Danio rerio: one gene and its partners. The protein of the gene in region 1 interacts with the protein of each later gene in a biochemical or structural test. Links are inferred from orthologs where the notes say so. Each region holds a gene or a part of one and is shown in the gene's direction. Other genes may lie near its edges.

Region 1 (6,629 bases):
CACACACTTTTGTAGGCCGTTTGCTTGGAGCAGTACCTCTGGGTGGGACGATGGCGCCATCTAACGGCCATCAGCAGACTATTAAGACGCGCATTTGCCTACAAACATGTCTGACATGTGACAACTATGAGACTCCTATTTAGTTTAATTAAGATTAAAACAATTAACGGAGGGAATGAGGACGTTTAATAATTAAACTTTATTCAACATTTAAATGGTCATTGTTTCTTTACATTTGTGACTGTCGTTTTTTAAAGTGCTAAATCTTTGTAGCAATATTTCATTTATAATATCTCCATACTATTCACGTTTTCTCTTTATTTTTGGCCAAATAGTCTAAATATAAAACACACCTTCATACATAAATACAGTAACACATGTAACGTTAAGAGAAGGCAACCAGTTATATATATATATATAAAAAGTTGTGTAACTTTCCAAACCGAGTGAATATATGCAATTATATTTTTACTCATAAAACAAAACAAATGAAGTGTTCATAATGGTTGGCTATGTTCTGTTTTGCTGGGAAAATGGTTTGGTGGATCTGAGCTTATTATCTGTGTTATTTGATTCCAGTGACGCTGATGTAAACAAAGGAAATCATATGAGCGCGTGAGTCACAATCAGGTGATAAACCACGCCCTTCAGCCATGACAACATGCTTTCCCCAATCAGATGCGTGAGGACACTTCGAGAATATTAGAGAATACAGAGTCACTCCAGGGAAATTTGGAGTAATAAGAGAGCATGTCAAAGTTGAACGTGATGTGTCACTCTCACCTGTATACTCATATCTAGTCTCCTTTTTTCTATCTCAAATCACATTGCAGTCATATGGCCAAAACATCCAAGGTCATACAAATCCTAATTAATTAAATAATAATGATGATGATGATGATGATGATAATAATAATAATAATAATAATAATCTTTCTTTTTGGAAGGTTTCATGAACCCGTGTTCTGTATCTTGTTATGCATAATGTAGTAAGAGCTTCTTTATGCTGTCTCACTGTTGGAGACTGCATGTTGTAGCCTTGTTTTAGAAAGGAGCTATATAAAAGAAACTTCTTCATCTTCTTAATGTTATTGATAATGATAATAATAATAATTATTATTATTATTGTTGTTGTTGTTATATCAATAAATGTGGATAAATCAAAGTTAATGTATGTGTAGATAAATAAAAATAAGGATATTAATATTTGTATATAATAATAATTATTACTACTAGTACTAGGCATATAATCATTATTACTCTAATATTGCTGCTGTTGCTGTTTTAATATAATATACATATCAATGAACAATAATGCATTTACAATTTAATTAATATTTGTTATAACATTGTTACTAAACTACTAATACTAGATTGTCATCATGTACATTAAACATTTGTAATCTCTATATACAGACATACACACATACATATGTGTGTGTGTGTGTGTGTGTGTGTGTGTGTGTGTGTATGTATGTATGTATGTATATATATATATATATATATATATATATACATATATATATATATATATATATATATATGTGTGTGTGTGTGTGTGTGTATATGTATATATATATATATATATATATATATATATATATATATATATATATATATATATATATATATATATATATATATATATAATGAGGTTGTGGTGAGTAAAATGGTTATATATGGTAAGAAAAATCTGAAAAAAAAACGGATGCATTAAGCATTGGCAAATTGTTGTTTCCTTATTATAAACAACGTAAGTTTGGTAGTGTAATGTTTCCTAGAGGTTTAAGCTTAAAATTTGATCAGTATACATTTGACAAACATTTCCTAAGGAAATGGCGACTGCTACTTCATTCATGATGACGCAGCACTTTGTTTAGCACCTGTAGCAGAAACACAACACCTCTTACCAACCACATCAAACTTGCAGGGCTTAGTAGAGCTTGTATTATGAGAAACTGGATTTCAAACAAAGCAACCAAGTTTATCTTGTACTAAAACAAAAATATTACCACACATTTGTATATGTAGGCATTTAAAAAAATGGATGTGGGTAATGTTTAACAGTGAGACTGTTACAGTATAGCAGAAGAACTTTTGTTTGATATTCACTTCTTAAAACAACTAAAATTAAGCCAAATAAATCTACAATTTGTATAAAGTATTACATGACATCCAGAACATGTATGTTTATAGCCCTTGAATATAACACTGCGTTTTTTGGCATTAATCCACTCCTATGATTTCAGCGGGAATTTCCCCTATCATATTGCCATGTCATTCCTCGGATCACCGAAAATCGTCCATTCTGTTTTCAAATGTGACTCACATGATCACAGACAACATGAACTCCGTCCTGCAATGACGCTGGACGTGGACATCTTTCTGCGAAGACACGCCCCCAAACTTGCGCTCCTCTCAACGATTGGCCGGCTCCTCGGCTGCATTAGCATTTGACGTACAAGGCTTATATACAGCACTGTCGGCTGAAGTAGGAAACGCATTTTCACGCAGCCAACGCAGAGTCCCGTGCTCGAGAAACGCATTTTCTACTGCGCAACACTTCCAGAGGTTCAGGGAGAGAAGCTATTTTCCGCTACGATGTCGATGACAGTGAAAGCTTACCTTATCGGTAAGGAGGACTGCAACAAGGAGATCCGTCGCTTCGCCGTGGATCAAGATGTCTCAACAAGTTTCGAGTATTTGCAGCGAAAAGTGCTCGATGTTTTTGTCGGTCTCAGGACTGCGCCCTTCCAAATGTACTATAAAGGTGAGTCAAATTTGAATTCTGAAATGTTTTTTTTTAATAACACTGATTTATTGCACAAGCAAGTGTGTGTTTGTGTCGTCTTTCAATGTTTTACTTGAAATGGCGGTTTATATTTATCTACGTTACTTGAAGTTTTAATAAAATTTCACGAAGCGATATTAGAAATAAAAAACTTGAGGAAAACGCACATAAATGTACATATTGAGAAACATAGTTTGCAGATTTTTATGTCTTTCTATGTTCAGTATTACTGAGCCATTAAAATGGATACTGCATTGTGAAACATCTTTGTTTATTGTTACATCCAAGTACAAAGTTTGATGGGGAACGTTTGTACTAGGCCGTAATAAACAAGCCATGAGCATAATATTTGAAATCCACTGTGCTTACTGAAAAGAAAACAGCAAAAACTTTTGTTATTGTTGTGTGTGGTAATCAACTTTTAATCAGACAAAACATGATGACAATCATAATAACCAGCAGAAATGCCATTCTGTTTTCCTGAACTTTGTCTCTAGATGAAGATGGTGATATGATTGCCTTTTCCTCTGACGATGAGCTAATGATGGGTTTGGCTCTTGTGAAGGATGACACTTTCCGTCTCTTCATCAAGCGTAAGTAACATACACAAACTATAACTACCATTTTAGGAAGGGGTTTCGATTATTTAAGAATATTATGTTATACCTGTAAATATAATTTCCTGCACATATTAAATGATCATTAGACTTAAAGGGATGGTTTAATCAACAATGAAAATGTACTCGCCCACTGAAGTAGTTATAGAATTTCTACATTTTGAAAAAAAAAAAATATATAAGTGCTGTCTGGAATTTCTCAGCCTCTTTTATGTTGAGAATAGTTTCTATAAAAGTGAAATTGCTGAACATACACACAGGAGCCTAATAAAAAATGCTAATTTTAGAGGAAGCTGAAAACCAGTAACCATTGATTTCCATAGTAGGAAAAACCATTTTTTTCTTTAGCTGAAGGGGGAAAAAAGTCAAGGAAGGGTGAATTTTTTTTGGGATGAACCATGTCTTGAATTTGCTTTTGGAATGTATCTGTTGCAACTTTTTATTACTCGCCGCAAACAAACTTTAGTTTGAGTTTAGCATGTTAGATGGTAATTTTAATATCTATGTTTGTTAAAAATAAATATCAAAAAACAAAACGACTGTGTTAAAGGTAGCAGTTAGGCTAGCAATACCTCATAAGGGTCAAAGACGTGGTTTTCATTTCTTTTTCCAGATCTATGAAGTCACTAAAATACTTTAGAAGTTCGCATAGACCGTGGCTTCAGTGTGTGTTTGTCAGGGCTGCATGATGTTAGGGGGAAAATAATCGAATCTAAAATAATCCTGTATAGTATTTATTCTATAAATAAAATACTGTTAACCTTTAATATTTTATTCAACCTAAATTCTGTAAATATGCCTATATTGTTTACAGAGTAACAGGCCTTAAAATCCCATGCAAATTATAAACTTTCACTCGTGATTGTCACGGTTTACAATTAATTCACACATTGTATTTGTTTTGTGATGCCTTTGCTACCGCCTTACTTTAAATCCTGCAGTTTGACTATCGTGAATGTACACACAGTGAAGTGTCAATAATGTGTGGGTGGTGCAACTCTTTGGGACTTTAAGTGTAAATGTAAGCCTAAATAGAATCTACAAATCCATTTTGTTGTCACAAGGAAACCATAAACGGGAATATCAGAGCGAACCTAACAAACAATCATATTTGGCTGCATCCAAAATCACATACTCTCTGTAGGTGGTGCTTTTAATAACTAGCTTCAGGCGTGTTCTATATAGTATGAATGCAATCTGCACCGACTGCATTCACATTATATTTGTGAAGTGACGTAAAGTTACAAAAGACATCTACCAGTTGTGTTGCTCCGCTGCCATTCTCAAAACATTTCCATGATCTCATGGGAAGGTAAATTTTTCCATCTGATGCATTCTTTGGAATATTACTAGATACAGCGAATTCTGGCATGCTACTTTTTGAATGCATCCAAGTTAGTAGGCTTTGAAAACATTGTTGTTGCGTTATGAAGACTAGATTAACTCAGAGCAGTTGGAGTAATTGTATTTGTAATATCAAAGTGTATTCTTCATCCTTAACTTCCATGTGTAAGCGTTCTCTTATTCTCAAGCTGCTGAGACAAACTTACTTAGGAATAGAGAGAAGTCATGAGCTAAGAGCAAAAGGCGTAGTCAACCTTGTTGCTCTGGATGACGTCAGCATCTTTAATAACTATGCAAACAGTGATTGGTTGATGGGGAGTCTATCAGAGATTGATTCAATAAAACTTTGTAGAGAACAATATTTCGTTGCCCTATTCAAATAGGGGGGGGGGGGGTAAATATTTTTGAAAACCTTTTTCTTTCCATAAGGGAATACTAGTGAGGATCTTTTGTGAAGATTTTGATTGGTTCTTGGATTCACTCTTGTTATTTGAGTACTAGAATACTATAAAACTAAAACACCTGCCACTTACATGTGCACAGTTTATAAGGTTGGAAAGATTACATGATTGGAAAGAGCGTCTAATGATGACATTAGATTTAAAGAGTGTGAATACTTTTTCATCTTGGATTCATCATTACGTACTTTGACCATACAAGCCTTTGAATATCTCAGATCTTTTGCAAATAGACATCTTCAATTAATAGCAATTATGTTATTTCCTTCTTTTTCAGAACGAAAAGAGCACAAACGTGATTCTTCTCCTCATGGAATTCCTGGGTTTCCGTTCACTACACCTCACTTTAGCCCTCCTGGTCCCTGTCATATGGGTCCATCTCCAATGGGGCCTCCAGGACCACCTCATATGGGGGGTCCTCCTCACCACCCTCACCCAATGGTGCACCCAGGTGTGACCTGTGACGGGTGTGATGGGCCGGTGGCTGGAACCCGTTACAAGTGCACCGTTTGCCCCGATTATGACTTGTGCCCCACCTGCCAGAGCAAAGGCCTGCACAAGGAGCATGCCCTCCTGCCCATCTTTCATCCTATGGCCAACGTGTTTGAGGTGAATAGCACTATTTTACTACATACAATACACTGCAAATGATCTGAATATTTTGGTTTGATTAATCTTTTGTGTGCAGTGGCTCCCTCGTGGGAAATTTTGGCGTAAGATGAGACACTGCATGTGGGCAAATGCTCAAGCTCAGGCTCAAAACCAGCCTCAGCCAGGTCCATCTGGAGCGCAGCAAAACCAGGATGCTCCTGAAAACCCAAATGAGAATGGTAAGCCAATCATTTAAAAGGGTCTATAGCAGAAGTCAACTCAGCTCCTGGAGGCTGAAGTCCCTCCAGAGATTAGTTCCAACCCTGAAACTGAGTAGGTTGTGTGTTTTTTTATAGAAAGAAGAGTGTTTCTACAGGTGGTTTGTCAATCCCACTCACCTGTGTAAAGCACACTTCAAATGTAAAGTTTTTTTGTAATGTGTCTTATGCAAGTGTCGGTTAAAGTGTCAAAATGATGGAGTGTGATTTCTACAGGTAGTTTTGTCAAGCCCACTTACCTGTGTGAAGCAGGTTTGTTTAATTAGGGTTAAAGTTAAACTTTGTAGAGCTGTGGCCCTCAAAAAACTGAGTTTTACACCCCTGGTCTATTGTAACAGGAGGAACTGGAACAGAATTGGGGCATGTCCAAAATTTTCCTGACTTTATTCTTTTTTTTTAATTATTATTTTATAGGTGCTACTGCCTCTTCTCAGGCTAACGTGGAGTACCTAAAGAACATCGGAGAAGAAGTGGCAGCCATGTTAAGCCCCCTTGGTAAGTCGCCTGCTTTGGTCTTTCCCAAATATTTGGTTCCAACACAATCTGATAC
Region 2 (6,104 bases), on another chromosome or scaffold:
CGATATAATGGGGCATTAGGACTCACACTTACTGCAAGCTGATGTGTATGCACACACACACACAGTAAATTATTCATCCTCATGTGAAATTGTAATACTTTTTTAAATATTTCCCGAGTGCTGTTTAACAGAAAGACATTTTTAATTTTTGTTTATACGTTTTAATAACTAATTTCTTTTTTCTTTTTTTTTATTAGATTCATCTTTGGTCAGACATATAAGACAAGTATATAAATAAAGATAAAATTCCACATTTATACACAAAGATATACAAACATAAGATAACAAAAATAAAAGAATAAAGAAATAAAAAGAAATAATAAAAAGAAAAGAAAGATAGAAAGGCAATTAAGATCCTCGATTAAGGTTAAGGTCTCCTTAAAAAAATTTAGAAAAGGGCTCCAGACTTGAACTGTTCTGGCTTTTGTTTTATCGCAAATCGAATCTTTTCCATCCAAAAAGTATGCAGGAAATCAAAAATACATTGCCGATAAGAAGGGGGAGCTGCTGACTTTACAATTCATAAGAATAAGTCGTCTAGCCAGTAAGGTTGCAAAGGCAACGCTATCGGCCTGTAATGAATTTAATTCAGCATATTAATAACTAGTTTCTTTAGTCTTTGCCATGATGACAGTATGTCATATTTTACTAGTTACTTGGCTAAATAAATTACTAGTATTCTGCTTAAAGGACAGTTTAAAGTATTATCTGAAGTTAATTATGTTAATTACGAAAGTTCTTAAAAAGAACTATGTATGTGTGTTTGTGTGTTTAAACGTATGTATATAATTTTAATGGGGACTAAAAATATTGATTGTAGCAGTTTTTAAATTTAAATAAAACTAAATTGTTTCAGGCAAACTAAAAGAAATATTATTGTCTTTTTAATACTAACCAATGAGAATTGGAGGGGGAAATGTGCTTAGTATTTATTGACAAAAACTCAATTCAACAGCCTGTTAATTATCAAGTTAGATCTAAAACGCACCCATGACCTCTTTTAAGCTGATCTTGCAGTGGTCAAATAGATTCCTGAGCAGCTTCTGCCAGTGTTTAAGTGTTGACACACCGGTTTTGTCTTTATCCACAGATGCAGCTGTAAATTCTGGGGAGGTCTGGTTCGTGAATTTCTATTTCCCACGCTGCTCACACTGTCACGATCTTGCCCCTACGGTGCGTAATTCTGTTCTCTCCCACTTACAATCACTTTCTCCTCACACGTTTCATTATTATAGTCACACTGTACTGTATCTGACTGACGTGTGAATCAACCCTACAGTGGCGGGAGTTTGCTAAGGAAATGGACGGTGTGATTCGGATAGGTGCTGTGAACTGTGGTGATAATGGCATGTTGTGCCGCAGTAAAGGCATCAACAGTTACCCCAGCCTCTATGTGTTCAGAGCAGGAATGGTAAGAGCATTTTCCATAGGGCTGCACAATATTGGAAAAATCTTACAGTGCAATATTTAGTCTTTATGCTATATTTATTGCAATATGAATTAATATAATTAGCTCTATTTGGAATTATTTCATTTATATCACCTGGAAGGATCAAGACTTTTTCTATGCTATGCATCAGCATAAATTATAACTAAACAGTGCTTTATGATTTTCTGGGGAGTCTAACAGTATTCAAGTACAGAAATTGAACAATCAAATGTAAATTATTATGGTCATCATTGTATTAATAATAATAAATTATATTTAATAATATCTTTTAATCTTTAATAAATAATCTAATCCTGCGATTTAGCTATTGCAGATACACACATTGCGTTATAGATGCTCAAATTATATATTAGTATGCAATTCATGTGTATGTACAGAATGAATGTAATATTCATTTATATGTTTAATGTCTGTAGTCATCCAAAATAATAAACATAATCTTGCCAACAGAATCCTGAGAAATACTTCAATGACAGAACAAAATCAAGCCTTACCAAATTTGCAATGCAGTTTGTGAAGAGTAAAGTGACGGAACTATGGCAAGGTATTTAATACTATAATTATATTTTCATTTAAAGCCAAAGGTGATGTAGTAAATAAAGAGTTAATGCAAGTGTTTTAGTTAAATGTTCTTTTGAGATTGTTATGATTCTGTTATTTACACTAACTGGCCACTTTATTAGGTACACCTGTCCAACTGCTTATTAATGCAAATTTCTAATCAGCCAATCACATGGCATCAACTCAATACATTTAGGCATGTAGACATGGTCAAGACATGCCAGAATGGGGATATTTTGAAAAAAGTGATTTTTGTTGGTGCCAGACGGGCGAGTGTTTTAGAAACTGCTGATCTCCTGGAGTTTTCACGCACAACCATTTCTAGGGTTTACAGAGAACGGTCTGAAACAGAGAAAATTTACTCAAATGTTCTCCACAGTCACCAGAACTCAATCCAATAGAGCACCTTTGGGATGTGGTGGAACGGGAGATTTGCATCATGGATGTGCAGCCTTCAATTCTGCAGCAACTGCATGATGCTTTCAAGTCAATGTGGACCAAAATCTCTAAGGAATATTTCCATCACCTTGTTGCATCTATGCCACGAATGATTAAGGTAGTTCTGAAGGCAAAAGTGGGTCCAATACGTTACTAGTAAGGTGTACCTAATAAAGTGGCCAATGAGTGTATAATGAAAGTGGTGTATTTATTAAGGGGTTAAATGCTAAATTAACAAATTTTTTTTTGTTGATAAATTTTATGTAGTGCTAAGTGTTACTTAGCATGTTATGTGTTTATCCCAGTTTTAAAACTACAGAAATGTTTTGTGTATAAATATTGTAAATTACCTACTGGCATATTCATTCCATGTAATAAAATGGCCAAGTGAACAGTACCAGAAGCTAAAAATATTATTATCTGCTGTAATATTGTACTGCCTCTGACTCATGCTGAGCATTGTCTGTGTATTTAATAATGTATTTAATTTTTAGGCAACATTTATAGTGAGATTGAGCGAGCATTTGCTGAAAGAATCGGCTGGTTGATAACTTTTTGTGCAGACACTGGAGGTGAGACTACAACTAATCCTGTTAGATGTTAGAAATAATGTTAGAAATCCCTGTTATTCATCTTTTAAAAAATCACTAAAACGAGATTCATTCACAGACTGTTTGGAATCACAGACAAGACGGAAGCTAGCAGGAATGTTGGTAAGTGTTCCCTGTTTTACTAAATTCAATTCCAATGTCTAAACATTTAATAATGGCTCTTACTGTCATGTGAGCATAAATGAACATTGTAATCTCTACAATACAGGACGGTTTAGTTAATGTAGGATGGATGGACTGCACCAAACAGGCGGATCTGTGTGAGAGCTTTGAAATCAATACCAGCACTACAGCCCTCTTCCCTCCAGGCAGTTCTCTCACTCAGAAAGGCAGTGTATTGGTGGGTAAATTATTGTATATCCTGTTTAGATGCATTGTTTTCTAATTGATCGGATCTAATTGGGTGTTTTTCATTTAAATTTTGACCAACCTTGCAGTTTATTCAGAGTTTGGATACTAAAGAAATATATGCACAAGTTCTGCAGCATCTTCCTGACCTGGAGATTCTCACAAAGAGCAGTTTTGAGGTAAGAGTGCAAGTGACTGCAATGCATATCAAGAGAATAAGGAAAGGCTGTACATAATAGGTTTGTGTTTGCAGTCGAGTGAGTGTAGTCTTGTACCACACCCAGCACTACCTGCAGTATCTCTCTGTTTACACACTAACTGACACGCACTAACTAGATCAGATATCATTGTGTGGCTCTGTTTGGAAGTTTCGTGAAATATACCTTATTACTTTTATAATTGTCTAAATATGTTCTTTAACTTTGTCATTTCAGCATAAATTGGCCCATCACCGATGGCTTGTCAGTTTTTCTTTTGGACGCAACGATTTGGCTTCACACGAGTATAAAAAACTCAACGCTCTTCTGAAGAACTCGCATATACAGGTTCCTGATAAATGTTATTCATGAATTATACATTTATTGTGTATTATTAATATTTTAATTCTTTTGTTGTACCATATCTGCACGTCAGTATTTTATTAAAGTGATCCATTATTCTGTTTTAAAAAATTAAATTTAATCAGCGCAATTGCCTAGTGGTTAGCGCGCTGACATATAGTGCCGTGTACCATATCTGCACGTCAGTATTTTATTAAAGTGATCCATTATTCTGTTTTAAAAAATTTAATTTAATCAGCGCAATTGCCTAGTGGTTAGCGCGCTGACATATAGTGCCGTAGCACTTGAGGGCATTCCGAGTTCGAATCCCGGCTTGAGTACTTTTCATCAAACCCTAACCCCAGACAATATCTCTAAAAACAGACAATATTTCTAAAAATTGTCATATTTACAAGATTAAAACTTGTAGATTATTTAAATAAGGCAAATGCGTTGATAAATGTGCAGTAGGTGATCTGCCAAAATGCTAATCGGTTAGCATATTAGCTTTGGGCGGCAGGGGACTGTTTTAAAGCCACGCCTCTTGAAATTGCGAACGCACGCATAGCAACACGACAGCAGACAACCCACTAGCTTATGTCATTCGCCAGTTAGAAGTGTATGTAGTGGTTGGCTCGCGGCGTGCAGGAATTACACTTATTACTTAGCCATACTTGCATGCTATTTCAAAATGAATATTCAGAGTAGAGGTAAACAATATCGGCAGGGCGTCATTGTTCAGAATGGCTGTCATTGTTCAGAAATGACCCAATGTGAATATAAAACCAACTTCAGCTCAGTATAGCAGGCTAGGCGGAATAGCGCTATTTACTTCTGTTTTGTTGTTAAACTAAAGAAGAATCTACATCATCAATGCTGTAAAAGTTCCTTATGAAACTGAAAATACTCATATTAATCAAGGATTTCAGTGGGTGAACAACACTTCTGTGCATATAACCCATTTGAAGCGACAACATCTGCATCAGCTTTGTGTGAAGCTAAAATAGTTTTAAAACAGAACATTACCTGTCTAACAGAAATACTTTAGCCATAGTATCGTCCTTTCTCCAGCGTGCAAAAGTAACTCCAATATTCATTCAGGAGTTTAAAAAGTTTCAATTCAGCATTTGATTTTGCCGCAGAGGTGACTGTCTCATGTGCTTTTGTCATGAACGATTATCTATGTGTGCACACGCTAATGGCGGATATGCGTGAACAGATGCGCAAAAGCCAAATCTGCATTTGTTGACAGACAGTTTGAGCTACTTATTGGAATTATGGGAGATGTCGGCCCGACAATATTTAACTGGATGAACATTTATTAGTTTATCCAGTTTAGTAAGTGCGCCTGTTTTCACGATTGTTTTAGAACTTCCGATTCAGTCGCCTATGGGAGAAATGACTACGAATAATAAATGGAAGAAAACGGTCCAACTACTTGCTCTACAAACAAATGTTTGCATGACTATACAGACCAAGTAGAAGAATATAATAAGAAAATATCAGTTTGCAACATCAAACAGCAAAACGAGCAGTTTTTTATGTCTAAAAATGAATGGAAGTGAACGGAAGTCTCGAGCCAAAAAGATTAAAATGGCTGCGCCCGCTCGTCGGCAAAGAATAAGGTGAATTGGACTGTGAAGAGACTTTTAACCAGCACAACAAAATAATTTTCAGAAGACAATCAGCTACTGCACCTTTAATCATTACTAAAAACGTGCATTTATTTAGACCAGACATTTCACCCTCTCTAAGTATATAGTAAAGTTTTTCGTTTTAGTTTTTCAGTGAGTCATTTAGATAAAAAGAAAAATTAATTATTTAATGTTTCTCTTTGGTTACTGTGCATGCACAGTCAGCTGCGAAGCCAAGTAAAAAGTAGGCTTACGTAAAAAGGCGATGCAAAAAACATATACAAGCTTTAGAGAGCAAAAGCCAAAGTTGAATCCCGGACATTTTAGGAGATTTAATCCTTAAAAGGAACATCTCTGTGGGTCTGCAGAGCACGTGAGAGGGACGTCTTGTGGGAGTGTTCACAGTTCTCAGCAACACAGAATGAAACGGTTAAACGAGAGAAGATTTTCCACTACTTAATGGATCACAGATGTTTGGTTATATTGGGCGTATACAAACATTTTTTTACGGATGTTAATGAAA
Region 3 (6,104 bases), on another chromosome or scaffold:
CAACCTCTCCCTAATCAAACACACCTGAATCATCTCATCAGAACATAAGCAGACGACTCAAAAACCTGGGTCAATGGGTCAGATGAGACTTCCAAAATATGTACAGCTGGTGTTCCTCCAGGAACAGGGTTGGGAAACACTGGATTTAAAATATTAATTATATTACAATTTAGTGTTTTGTTGATGAGCGGTTGTACTGAAATTTATTTTAGTCGGTGTCGTTTATAAAGAATGTAAACATTTTTTACTTTTTTGTGCAAATTTGGCTTTCAGACTTTTTATTCCCCAACAATACTTATACTTGAATACATAGTCAGATAATCAGACAATTTTTTTAAATAAAAAAAAATAGTAATTATAATGATTATTAGTATTAATTAGCATTGTCATTATCATTAACTTTTTTTCTCTTGTATTTTTTTTTTTCAAATTCTTTGTAAAAGGTTTCATTCATAAACTCTTTGTTTCAGCACACATGATTGGAGTAAAAAGTTTGAAGCTCTATAGTATTTTTATTAAAGTTTCAAGTTCAGGATCCTTAAGATTTTTAAAGTTTGTCTTCTATACAAACCATATGATTAATAAAAATACTGTAAAATATTACAGTTAGTTTTTTAAAATATTAAATTTTTTTTTCCAGATTTATTTATTGCTGTGATTGAGCTAAATTCAGCATTATTACCTCAGTCTTAGGGTGCTTTCACACCTACACTTTTGTTTCGGAACCTGTCTCGTTTGCCTAGTTAGCGCGGTTCGTGGAACAGGGCAATCGCGCTCTGTTCCGCGCCAAAGTAATCGCTCCGAGATCGCTTGAATGAGGTGGTCTCGGCTCGATTGAAACGACCCCTGGAGCGGTTTGATTGCAGTGAGAAAGCGATCCGATCCGAGCGCGGTTATATCACAGTGTTTTATGGATATGTAATAGGCATATGGCTATATGAAGAGAGCATTACGAGTATGGCGGGAAGTTTCACTGGTCTCCGGATGCCCGCAATTAGTGATGATCTCCCGGTAATCTTGCGTCTCCCTCCCGGTCCTCAAATAGGCATCGTCACGCACCCTTCTCACCCCTCCCCACCGCATCTCCCCTCAGACACGTCGCGTGCGCACCCTGTCAATCACCACCAAACCACCACCTCTCCTGACAGTTTAGCGGGACACTGGAAAATAAACCCTGACACTCTGACCAAGTTGAGGAGAGTTTACTCACACGTGACTTGTTTTAGCTCTTTTGTTCCGATTAGAAACTTTGCAGTGTGAAAGCGAACCGCTCCAAGAGCAAAGAGCAACAATGTAACAATTGTAATCTCTGTTTCGGAACAACTGAATCGATTCACAGGTGTGAAAGCAGCCTTAGGAAACTAGAAATAATTTCAACATGCTCATCTAATTGGAATCTTTGTAACATTACAAATGTCTCTACTACAGGGCTCGAAATTAACTCTTTTACTTGGTAGCACCGGTGCTCCCAACTTCAAATATTTAGGAGCACCCACCAAAAATGAATGAGCACCGCTGCAAATTGTTTTTTAAGGGATTTATTGTATTTTAAAACAACATTAATAGGACTGACAAAAACTAGAAACAACTATCTAACTAATGCTGTGAAGACATTGATATTTGTGTGCAATAATTCCAAAATGAATGTCTAATAATTAGGCCATAGAATATTAATGATGATAAAAAATGACAATAATAGTAAAAATGAATTTCATTTCTCATTATGGTGCTGCCTTGAATGTGCATGAATGTAGGTTATCTGCTATAAAAAGTCTGTTACTTTATGAAAAATAATTGTATAGATTGCATCAAACAAATGAAGCATTGCAGTAAGAAATATTTATTTTGTACTGCTGTTTTTATATGCATGTCAATTTAATAAATAATATTTCTGCTACAAAACAAACAAAATATTATAATAAATCATTCAATTCAATGATGAAAGCTGCAAAGCAGTCATCAGTAAATAAATAAAAAAATAATATACACCTCAAAAAAGAATAGACAAAAGAAAATAAGTAAAGTCTCACTTCTATCACTCTTTAAAAGTTTTGGTTTCAGTTTGTGTCAATTTAAAGGTTCAGTCTAAGGTGATCTTCATTTTTCTGTGTTTGTGGAAAAGCTGGCGAGTCAGCCGACCCAATTTATGAGCAGGTTGAGCAGGATTCTTGCGCTAACCATCGGCGCAATACCGGTCTTTGTTATGAGCCGCAGTTTCAGTGTTACCTTAGTAAAGGCGAGCTTCTTTGGCGATGATATGTACAGTATTAGATTTGACTTTTAGCGGACATTTGCGCTGAACACGCAGTGAATGCAACGCATGGAGATTCAGGCACCTTCTCCAAGAAGCGCGTACTCGATTGATCTCAGCTGGCGGATCATTATTCACCACGTGACGTGTCATGATCGCTTTTATCTGCGCCTCAACTTTAGGTGGGGTTTGCAAACCTGTGTGCTTTAAGTTTTCACTCTTCAGCCGTTTGCATTTCCCGTGGTCATAAAAGCTCCTTCCCTGTCATCTGACAGCGGAATACCGTGAGTGAATGACAGCTAATATGAACCAATATAGCGGCAGGGAAGAGCGATTCAGCACGTTTTTACAAAAAATCAAAACAGGTCGCACTACAACCATTATCTGCAGTCGCACTAATGCTCCCAGATATATTATGAGGTCGCATAGATAAATTTTCGGGCGCATATGCGACCAAAATGGTCGCAATTTCGAGCCCTGCCACTATCACATTTGGTTGCTAGCTAGGTTTAAAATAAAACCTACCTGACCTCAAAAAATAGTAGTGAGTAATGTCCATCCTCAAAGTTTTATTTATGTATATATTTTAATTTTTACAATTTATAATATGACCCCTTCAGATTTTTTTTCTTTAATGTACAATGCAATGTCTTGTGCACCAGCGCATATGAAGTCAAAATTCATCTAATCACCTGATTTCCTGTTTTTTTGTGCAGCTTGTGGAGGAGAAGCGAGCCCTGGAGGAGGCTGAAAGGAGAGCCAGCGAGGAGTACATCCAGCGGCTTCTGGCAGAGGAAGAGGAGCGCTTGGAGGAAGAGAGGAGACGCAAAGAAGAGCTGCAGCTGGAGAACGATGAGAAACTGGCCAGACTGCTCAGCCTAGAACTGGTGAGATTACAAGAGCCGAGACACGTTCACTGACACACTCCTCTCTGCTCAAACATGTAAAAAAAAAATCATAATGGACATTAAACAGACATTAATAAATGACCGTTTTATACTGCATGGTTTAGTTCATTTGCTCTGTGACCCTCATTGAAACGGTTTGAATTTGGAGCTATTTAATATCTATTTTATGTTGTTTGAGCAGAATTCAGGACCAGCCTCTGAATCAACATGCAACATCAAACCTGCCGAAGCTACGCCAGCTAAGAAGAAACCAAGTGTGGGGGATATTGAGAAGTGAGTAGCTGCTGTGGAGCCCAAGTACATCAGTGTCATCCTGGTTTTTGTTGTTAAATGTGATGAAAGAGCTGTTATGAAAAGCACTGCATTCTCTTACATGCCAGGTTTTTGCGTCCAGTGCCTCATAAACAGCCAAGCAGTTCTGACAGCAGCCCAGACTCCTCCCTGATGGCTAATAAGGTAATTTATGCATGAATGAAATGAAATTATTACTATTGTAATTAACAGAAATCTTTCTTAGATATGATATAAAGCAAACTGATAACATTTGAAGAGCATAGTTTCATTTTAGAAATCTGAAATACATAATTGTAAAGAAAAAGTATTTAAATTAATCTTTTTTTTTTTTTTGCAGTCTAAATTTACCCTTCCAAAAATTAAAGCAATAAAGCCTCTATTTCATGACGTTATCGCATTAGATGCAGTAAAAATGTCTGAGAAAATTAGAAAATTAACAAAATAAAGTGAGTTGACGCCTAAACTCGCATGATTTAGATCAGTGTGTCTGAAAACAAGACTACATATTAGTGCTGCAACAACAAATCGATTAAATCCATAAAAATCGATTACTAAAAGCGTTGGCAATAAATTTCATTATCGATTCGTCGTGTCACGCGACATGGAGACGTTTGATTAAAAAAAAAAAAAATAATGAAAACTTTAGCTCAGCGCGAAGCGGAGTGCACACACGGCTTCTCTCTGTCTCTCGCGCACTGATACAGAGTTCAGCGCCACGTTATTGACCTTATTCTCCGCCTATGAGCGGGTGCTGCCATTTGAATCTTTTTGGCTCGAGACTTCCGGTCTCATTCACTTCCATTCATTTTTAGACATTAAAAACTGCTCATTATGCTGCTTGATGTTGCAATTTGATATTTTCTTATTATATTCTTCTACTTGGTTTGTATAGTCATGCAAACATTTGTTTGTAGAGCAAGTAGTTTGACCGTTTTCTGCCGTTTATTATTCCTAGTCATTTCTCCCATAGGTGACTGAATCGGAAGTTCTAAGACAATCGCGAAAACAGGCGCACTTCCGCATTTTAGAATAAGGTCAATAGATCACGATCACTTACACGTTTATGTGAATTGGAATATTGGGTAGTTGATGACATGATGAGCAAGTGTGTAAATATGTTGAATTAAAAAAACTAAAAACTAATAAAAAAATTAAATAAAAGGGATACATCTGTCATACATGGCTGTACGTCGCCATGGAAACATTAAGGGTAAATGTTCTAAAAAAACTGACTCCCGGGCCAGAGAGAATCTTTTAAACTCAGCAGTGAAAGAGTTAATAACAGCAGTAAAGCAGCGGTGGTAGAGTTACTTTGCATTTCAAGACCAAAGACACATTTTTATTCACTTCGCCATTTTTTTCCGTCTGTAGTCATGTATAGCTGCACTGCAGAAAAGTTTTTTTAGTCATTTTGTCTCGTTTCCAGTTTAAATATCTAAAAAATCTTCCATCAAGAACAGACAAGAAAAAGGGCATGAGAAAATGAAGTGATACTGATAACTTTTGTTTGAGATTATATCTTATTAAGATATTTTTTCTTACCCCATTGGCAAATAATTTAGCTTGTTTTAACCCAGGGATGTCAAACTCAATTCCTGGAGGGCCACAGTCCTGCACAGTTTAGTTCAAACCCTGCTCCATTACACTTACCTGTAGGTTTCAAACAAGCCTGAAGGACTTAATTAGTTTGATCAGGTGTGTTTAATTAGGGTTGTAACTAAACTGTGCAGAGCTGCGGCCCTCCAGGAATTGAGTTTGACATTCCTGTTTTAAGCAAGCTGTTACTTAATTTTGAGGTTAAGTGATTTCTTATGCTATTTTATGTGTCTAGTATGTATCTTCATTTAAAAACCTTAAGATATTTGGATTGAAAACAGGACAAAACTAGTTTTTTTATTATTATTATATATCTTTATTTTTAAATAAAGGGTTGCAAATGATTGCTTTTCTTTTTTCTTTTTATTTGATTAATCGAAAAAATAATCGACAGATTAATCGATTATTAAAATAATTGTTAGTTGCAGCCTTGCTTGGATCTTGATTTTAGAGTTTGGACATACACACTGGAAAACAGGAGTAAAAAAATTGATACAGACCACCACTTTTTGTAGTCTGAGGGTAGAGTAAATTTAATAATTTCTTTATTCTAGTTAAGCTTTTTATATGATCTTTAAGAGGCTGGTCTTGTGCTCACAGGGTTCCTACACTACTTGAAAGTATTTAAAAATACTTGAATTTCAGACATATGGATTCAAGACCCGGAAAATACTTAAAAACAAACATAGGTCCTTGAAAGTGCTTATATTAAATTTGTTTATGGTTTCATTTCAACAATTGTACTCAATTGTCGAAAACAGAATGAAAAAGCAGAGATGTTTTTAAATTATAAATCTTGCACAATAACAGACATAATGCACGTTTACCGCATTTGAATGTCTCCAGTATTACAAATTGTATTAGAGTGAATTAAATTAAAGTGTATTAAATTGAACATAACTTTTAAAATGGTAGATTTTTCAAAATTACTCTTGGCATTTTTTATGAAATATATTAATTATAAATGAAATGCGAACTACAGCATGAACTTTTATGGGGCTACATATGCTGGGGTAGGAATTACAAAGGTGTTTGATTTGAAATTAATGGTGCTT
Region 4 (6,104 bases), on another chromosome or scaffold:
TAATTTGTGAGAACACTAAATTGTTAATATTAATTTTAATAATTCCAATTTTAATATGTTTATAGTAACACTTTAATTGTAAAGTTTTATTTGTTCATGTAATTAACATTAAATACTGTAATAGCATTTAAAGCAAAAAATCCATGTTGCATGAGTGCATTTATTTACCTTATTCTTCATGAACAAGCGGTTGCAGCCATTTGAATCTTTTTGACTCGAGACTTCAGGTCTTATTTACCTCCATTCATTTTTAGACATTAAAAACAGCTCATTATAATCACGCACATATATTTTGGGAATGTCTGAAAATACGTGCATTTTGGCAAGGGGTAAAGATTGAGATAATGAAAATTCTGCAGATAGATCTACCTTTTAGTCCCCTGTTTTTCTTGCTTGAAGGGATACCCCAGGATATATATAATAAAAAACAGAGATATATACTACATATACTTTTACTCAGTGCAAGAAAGACCATAACAATAAATTGGATGAAGCCACACCCTCCATCAATAGTACAGTGGATAGAAAAACTTGAATGTATATATAGAATGGAGTATATGACTGCTCAACTTCAACTAAAACTGGATATTTTAAACAAAGATGGGCACCTGTTACATTGTATCTGAATAGGACATAGAATTTCTAGCTCCTTTGAAACTGAAAATATTGTACGTTTGTTTTTGTTTTTTTGTAATTTATTTTGATTTACATCTGCGGCTACTGTGATTTTTTTTTCTTTTAATAATCACTGCTGTCACTGAATGTTCTGTTCTGTAAAATGTTTTAATGTATAAAAATAAAGTAAAAAAAAATAAAAAAAACAGCTCATTAGGCTACTTGATGTTACAAACTGCTATTTTTTGTTATGGTATTCTACTTGGTTTTACAGCAAGTAGTTTGATTGTTTTCTGACATTAATTATTTCTACTCACTTCTCACATGAATCAGGAGTTCTAAAACAATCGCAAAAACGAACACACTTCCACGTCAAAGAATAAGGTCAATGCTTTTTAGGTTTAGTTTGATTAAAAGAAACTGTGATAGTTGCTATGTTGGAATAAGTGTACATCTTAATGAGTCAGTGACTGTCTGAGATCTGTCCCCCGCAGAAAATATGATTTAAAAGGCACAGTTTGTATTGTAAATAACAAGGCTTTTTGTCCGTAGAGAGAAAACTATGTAACCATTGAGCAGCTCCTGTAAGTAAGGTTACTGTTGTCTGTTTTATTTTCTAAATGAAGTGATTTTTCTCTTTAATACAGATGTTGCCAGTTTATTCCATAATATTGTTATCTGTTTGACAGTAATGTCTATCAATGAGATGGGTTTGGACATTTAAAAAACGTAAAAAATCTGTATTGATTGGTCAATATGTTTTTTTTTTCAACCTTTTGACAGCTCTTTTAATTTGAAATAAAAAAAAAATATATATATTTATTGTCCCCCTGTTGGTTAGGGGTGTAACCGATCACGGTTTGTTAGTGATCTGTACAGATCACAACCCACAGTTCGGAACGCACATGTTTAATGACGGATTAATAACTTTTGAAACTTGTAGGTTAATCCAACATTTATAACAATTGCAGACAGATTGCCTCGAGTGTCATTCAAATCACATGTATGAAAGCATCATGGCTTCCTTGTGAAATATAATGATTATGGATTACGGTTGTGGTGGGACCTACGTAAATGCTTTCTTAGGTTATTAATTAAAAGTGTTTTCTGTCACTGTTTAGCCTGAATTAATGCATTCAGTGTAAAGTGCTGCATTCAGATCTGTGTTTGACCGAGAGAGATTCAGTTTTTACACTTTCAGTTCGTTACAAGCAATTAAATAACACGTAAGTACTGGGAGAAGAGTTTATAGTTCAGATATAGACACTGATGTTTATGGTAAAGACTGAAATCCGGTTTTAAAAAATGATAAAACTTTAATGAAACATGAAACTTTAAGTGTGAATTGTTGAATCATTAATTGAAAATAAAGATGATTTTCTGTACAATATGTTATATTTATATATTTAGCATCATCAGCAAAAGTAGCAAAGATCATTTTTCGTATTCAATATTTTCCTTTTTTTCAGCCGGTTGTTTTTGATTTTAGATTTTTATGAAAATTAAAGGTTCTAAGTTCTGTTTGTTAAAACCAGTGGCTTTTGCACTAATATTTTTGCATAAATTGAAAGCAATTGACATTTGTCTCCTTCCTTTTTTTGATGATCCGAAAAATGGTCCGATCCGTGACTCAAAAACTGTTGTGTCATCTGAACCTGGTGCAGTATAACTTAAATGAATGTAAAATCTGGCAGTCTTAATGTGCAGCAAACACTTGTTTTTTTAATTGTAGTCATGATGTTGCCAGGTATAGTTTAATACCAGAGTCGAAAATGCTGCAATGTTAGCATTGGTAAAAAGTGCCACAGACCGCATATTTACCATTTTGGAAGTTATATATTGAATTGTGTTTTTTTTTAAAAGATGCTGGAAAGTTTAAGGTCATATTTTAAATGTGTTAGAGTTATTTTTTAAAAAGTGTGGTGTCATTTAATGATCATTGTTTGCTTAATGTAGTGTCAACTGACATTCTATAAGCTCATCAGAACTATAAATTGTTTGAAGTTAAAACAAAGTATGAGCTAAACTAGTATGAAAGCACCTTAAATGATGACATCATTTCAGCGAACTTTTCCCTTTAATACACCTATTGTTTGCTTTAAAGGAATGGTCATATTTCCTTGTGTGCTATTCCTAGTATAGTACTTGACTTCAGTCCCCGTAAGCTTCCTTACAAATTCAGGTTCAGAAAATCGTGTTTGAGTTTCTTGTAAGTCGTATTTGACCATGGGACTGAATGTTTGCTCATCATGCTTGTTGTTGTAAAAGCAGTGTGTACTGATCCATGTATGCCCTACAGAGGAATGTGGCTTCGCTGCTTCCTTTCAGAGATGCTGCGCTTTCACAGGATGCATCTCTCACTACTAACATAGTGGGCACAAAACCTTCAGTTATATGCCAGAATATTGTTATATCGTTTATGCAATGATAAGAGTAAATCTGTCTCTCTCTGTAAATATGAACTAAACACTAGTAGTTTAGTAATGCGGAGCTATCATAATCTCAGAGATATTTGTCACAGGACATGCATAACTGCCTTTTATGTCTCGTACAGTAGCTTAATCGTAATAGTCCTGGATCAGATAAAAGCAGCACTTTTTTTTTTTTTGTTCGTCATAAGGTGATGTGTGGGATGGTTGCAGTGGCCGCTCGCAGGCATGTGTGGGTCAGTGCACTGGCTCGTAGACAGGAAAGACTCCCTGCTGTTAATAATTAACCAAAACAGTGTGAACTCGGTAGACAACAGAGAGTAAGAAGCTGCTGTGTGCCTCCTGCTATGGGAATATGCTAGTATTACAGCTTCCTTGAAACTCGCCATCTCTGATACTCCATGTACTGTGTTTTTGGTCTTAAAATGTACTAATATAGTATTTAGATTTCTTTTATTATCACACACAAAATTATTTATCATATTTTTAGGAGGGCTGTGCATTATGATGGTATAGATATATATCGAATGGTCATAAAATAAAAAATGTTACCCTTTATTGTTTATTTCTTGGTGTAATAAATTATATTGTACACAGTCGTACTTTTTCATACTTTATATAAGCACAATATTGCATGCTGTTACAGGGATGCAGATAGAAACATAAATAACCAATGCTATCTCTAGATAATTCAGAAGTTTTTGATTTAGTGGATGGGGTGGGAATTCTTACAATCTCACTGGTACAGTTAAGTACAATTTACTCATCCCCCAATGATGTTGTGTTTAGGGGTGGGGTTGGGTACCATGACTGACAATGCAATTTGGAAACAAATGATGGAAGAATAAGTCAACATGCCTCAATGAAGAAAAAGTTCGAAGTGCATTTTTGATGCATAATAAGTTATAATGTAAATTACTCTGCTTGTAAACCTGTAATCTAACATTAAGTTTGGTTCATGTGATCAGCCAGATAAGTGAGTACCGATCAAATCTGATCTCCAGCCGATTGATCAGTGCATCCCTAATATATATTAGAGAACTATTAATTGATTAAATAAATTTTTCCTCTCGCCCCACCTTAATTTTTCAAGAGTAGGGCTGCACAATATATTGTTTTAACATTGATATGGAAATATGTACATCTGTAGTAGTCAGATTGCAGGATCTGCAATGTTGAATTTGTGAATATAGTTTACCATGAGCCACAGTTATTGAAGATTTATTCCATAATAAAGCAAAAGTTTTTTATTTGCATGTGTTTTTCAGGCCTGTGATTAAAGCATATCAAGAGAGTTTAAAGCATTCAGGCATGAAAATTGTACCAGTCTTTAATAAAAAATATTCAATTGATTTATTTATGCAATGAAATCTAAGCACTGCTATTTTACATTTGATTAAATTCTGTATATGGTTTCATACCAAATCGAGGTATTTAAAGTCATCTGGGGAAATTATATACACATCACAGAAAAACAAAACATTGCATTGTCAGATTTTTCTAATATCCTGCAGGCCTAAAATGTAGGATTTTAATGAATGTCACTTTTTTTTCTGTTTTAGGGACATCATGATCACACATTTTGAGCCTTCGATCTCCTATGAGGGACTCTGCAATGAGGTGCGTGATATGTGCTCCATGGACAATGACCAGCTCTTCACCATGAAATGGATTGATGAGGAAGGTTTGTTGTTTCATTTTTGTGTCTCTTTGCTCTATTCACAGTAGGTGTTTGCATCTGTCTCAGGTGATCTGATCTCAGTCAGTCGAGACAGATTGACATTTACTCCTGGTTAACATGAATCTCCAGTGACTTCTTTAGATCAGGTTTCACTAAAGAGAACCTCTCACTCGTTTCATGATTACACACAGCTTGTTAAACCAAAGAGAGCTTTTACTTGTTAAAACTGAATTTTGGCTATTACAGTTAATTGACCCATTTTTCTAAATGAGCTGTTTTATAGGCTATCGTCTTAGTTGCTTGAGAATAAGGGTCACTTCATGAATAGTTTAATGTTTATTTTACTGTTTAACAATAAAATGCACTTTTCGATGTTATACTAATGCTGAACGGCCATATTAGTGCCAGAATTAATTCAAGACATGATTTTGCTTGCTCCTAGTTGATTCAATTTAGGTATTAAACATAGCAATACTCAGATAGGCTGTGGTGTTCATACGATGCTCGATTGGTACTAATGGGCCCAAAGTGTGCCAAGAAAATATCCCCCACACATTACACCCCCACCACCAGCCTGAATCGTTGATACAAGGCAGGATGGATACATGCTTTCATGCTGTTGACACCAAATTCTGACCCTACCATCTGAATGTTGCAGCAGAAATCAAAACTCAGAGCAGGCAACATTTTTCCAAACTATATTGATGAGCCTGTGCAAATTTTAGCCTCAGTTTCCTGTTCGTAGCTAATAGGAGTGGCACTCAGTGTAGTCTTCTGCTGCTGTAGCCCATCTGCCTCAGATTTGACGTGTTGTGCGTTCAGAGATGTTCTTCTGCATACCTCAGTTATAATGACTGGTCATTTGAGTTCTGTTGCCTTTCTATCAGCTTAAACCAGTCTGGCCATTCTCCTCTGGCATCAACAAGGCATTTGCACCCACAGAACAGCTGCTCACTAGATGTTTTTCCTTTTTCAGACCCTTCTCTATAAACCCTAGAAATGGTTGTGTGTGAAAATCCCAGTAGATCATGTCTGAATTCTTTCAAGACAAGTTCATTCAATTTAGACATTAAACATAATAAATTTTTGTTATTATCATATTTTAATATGTTATTGCATCTTATGCAATATGTAATTTTGTGTTGTATGTCCTGGATGCATCAGCATTGATGATATAAATAAAGTGTGTGTGTTTAACTAACCACAAATGGGATTCGAGTCATCACAAAATCTTTTGCACTTTATTTGAACCTGCATTTAGTGCTGTCCGCTTGATCAAATCCCTTGAGACAGATGTTAATGCCAGGTGTAAACGTGGCCTTTCCTTCTGTTTCTTTAACTGTCGCCGTAGCAACAAGCTTCCTCCTGCCATTCTGCTG

Evidence for each region. The genes of interacting proteins can lie anywhere in the genome.
Region 2: the proteins of sqstm1 (region 1) and dnajc10 interact in a test that uses a peptide from one of them, tested with the Homo sapiens proteins (2 studies listed by BioGRID). The link is inferred for Danio rerio from reciprocal best matches to the Homo sapiens genes SQSTM1 and DNAJC10.
Region 3: the proteins of sqstm1 (region 1) and rnf168 form a complex in vitro, tested with the Homo sapiens proteins (2 studies listed by BioGRID). The link is inferred for Danio rerio from reciprocal best matches to the Homo sapiens genes SQSTM1 and RNF168.
Region 4: the proteins of sqstm1 (region 1) and prkci form a complex in vitro, tested with the Homo sapiens proteins (4 studies listed by BioGRID, with this or other methods). The link is inferred for Danio rerio from reciprocal best matches to the Homo sapiens genes SQSTM1 and PRKCI.

What each region holds. Positions count from the first base shown.
Region 1 is NC_133189.1:19,139,177-19,145,805, forward strand, and holds the start of sqstm1 (sequestosome-1), read left to right. Parts: upstream 1-2,471; 5' UTR 2,472-2,601; coding exon 2,602-2,770; intron 2,771-3,045; exon of another isoform or gene 3,046-3,288; coding exon 3,289-3,384; exon of another isoform or gene 3,385-5,487; coding exon 5,488-5,819; exon of another isoform or gene 5,820-5,898; coding exon 5,899-6,040; exon of another isoform or gene 6,041-6,493; coding exon 6,494-6,574; exon of another isoform or gene 6,575-6,629. UniProt on the Homo sapiens protein: Molecular adapter required for selective macroautophagy (aggrephagy) by acting as a bridge between polyubiquitinated proteins and autophagosomes.
Region 2 is NC_133184.1:46,686,452-46,692,555, reverse strand, and holds part of dnajc10 (dnaJ homolog subfamily C member 10), read left to right. Parts: intron 1-1,090; coding exon 1,091-1,173; intron 1,174-1,279; coding exon 1,280-1,411; intron 1,412-1,900; coding exon 1,901-1,994; intron 1,995-2,943; coding exon 2,944-3,021; intron 3,022-3,118; coding exon 3,119-3,162; intron 3,163-3,268; coding exon 3,269-3,400; intron 3,401-3,497; coding exon 3,498-3,587; intron 3,588-3,842; coding exon 3,843-3,953; intron 3,954-6,104. UniProt on the Homo sapiens protein: Endoplasmic reticulum disulfide reductase involved both in the correct folding of proteins and degradation of misfolded proteins.
Region 3 is NC_133190.1:4,301,308-4,307,411, reverse strand, and holds part of rnf168 (E3 ubiquitin-protein ligase rnf168), read left to right. Parts: intron 1-2,967; coding exon 2,968-3,138; intron 3,139-3,340; coding exon 3,341-3,432; intron 3,433-3,539; coding exon 3,540-3,615; intron 3,616-6,104. UniProt on the Homo sapiens protein: E3 ubiquitin-protein ligase required for accumulation of repair proteins to sites of DNA damage. Acts with UBE2N/UBC13 to amplify the RNF8-dependent histone ubiquitination.
Region 4 is NC_133177.1:40,364,227-40,370,330, reverse strand, and holds part of prkci (protein kinase C iota type), read left to right. Parts: intron 1-4,606; coding exon 4,607-4,728; intron 4,729-6,104.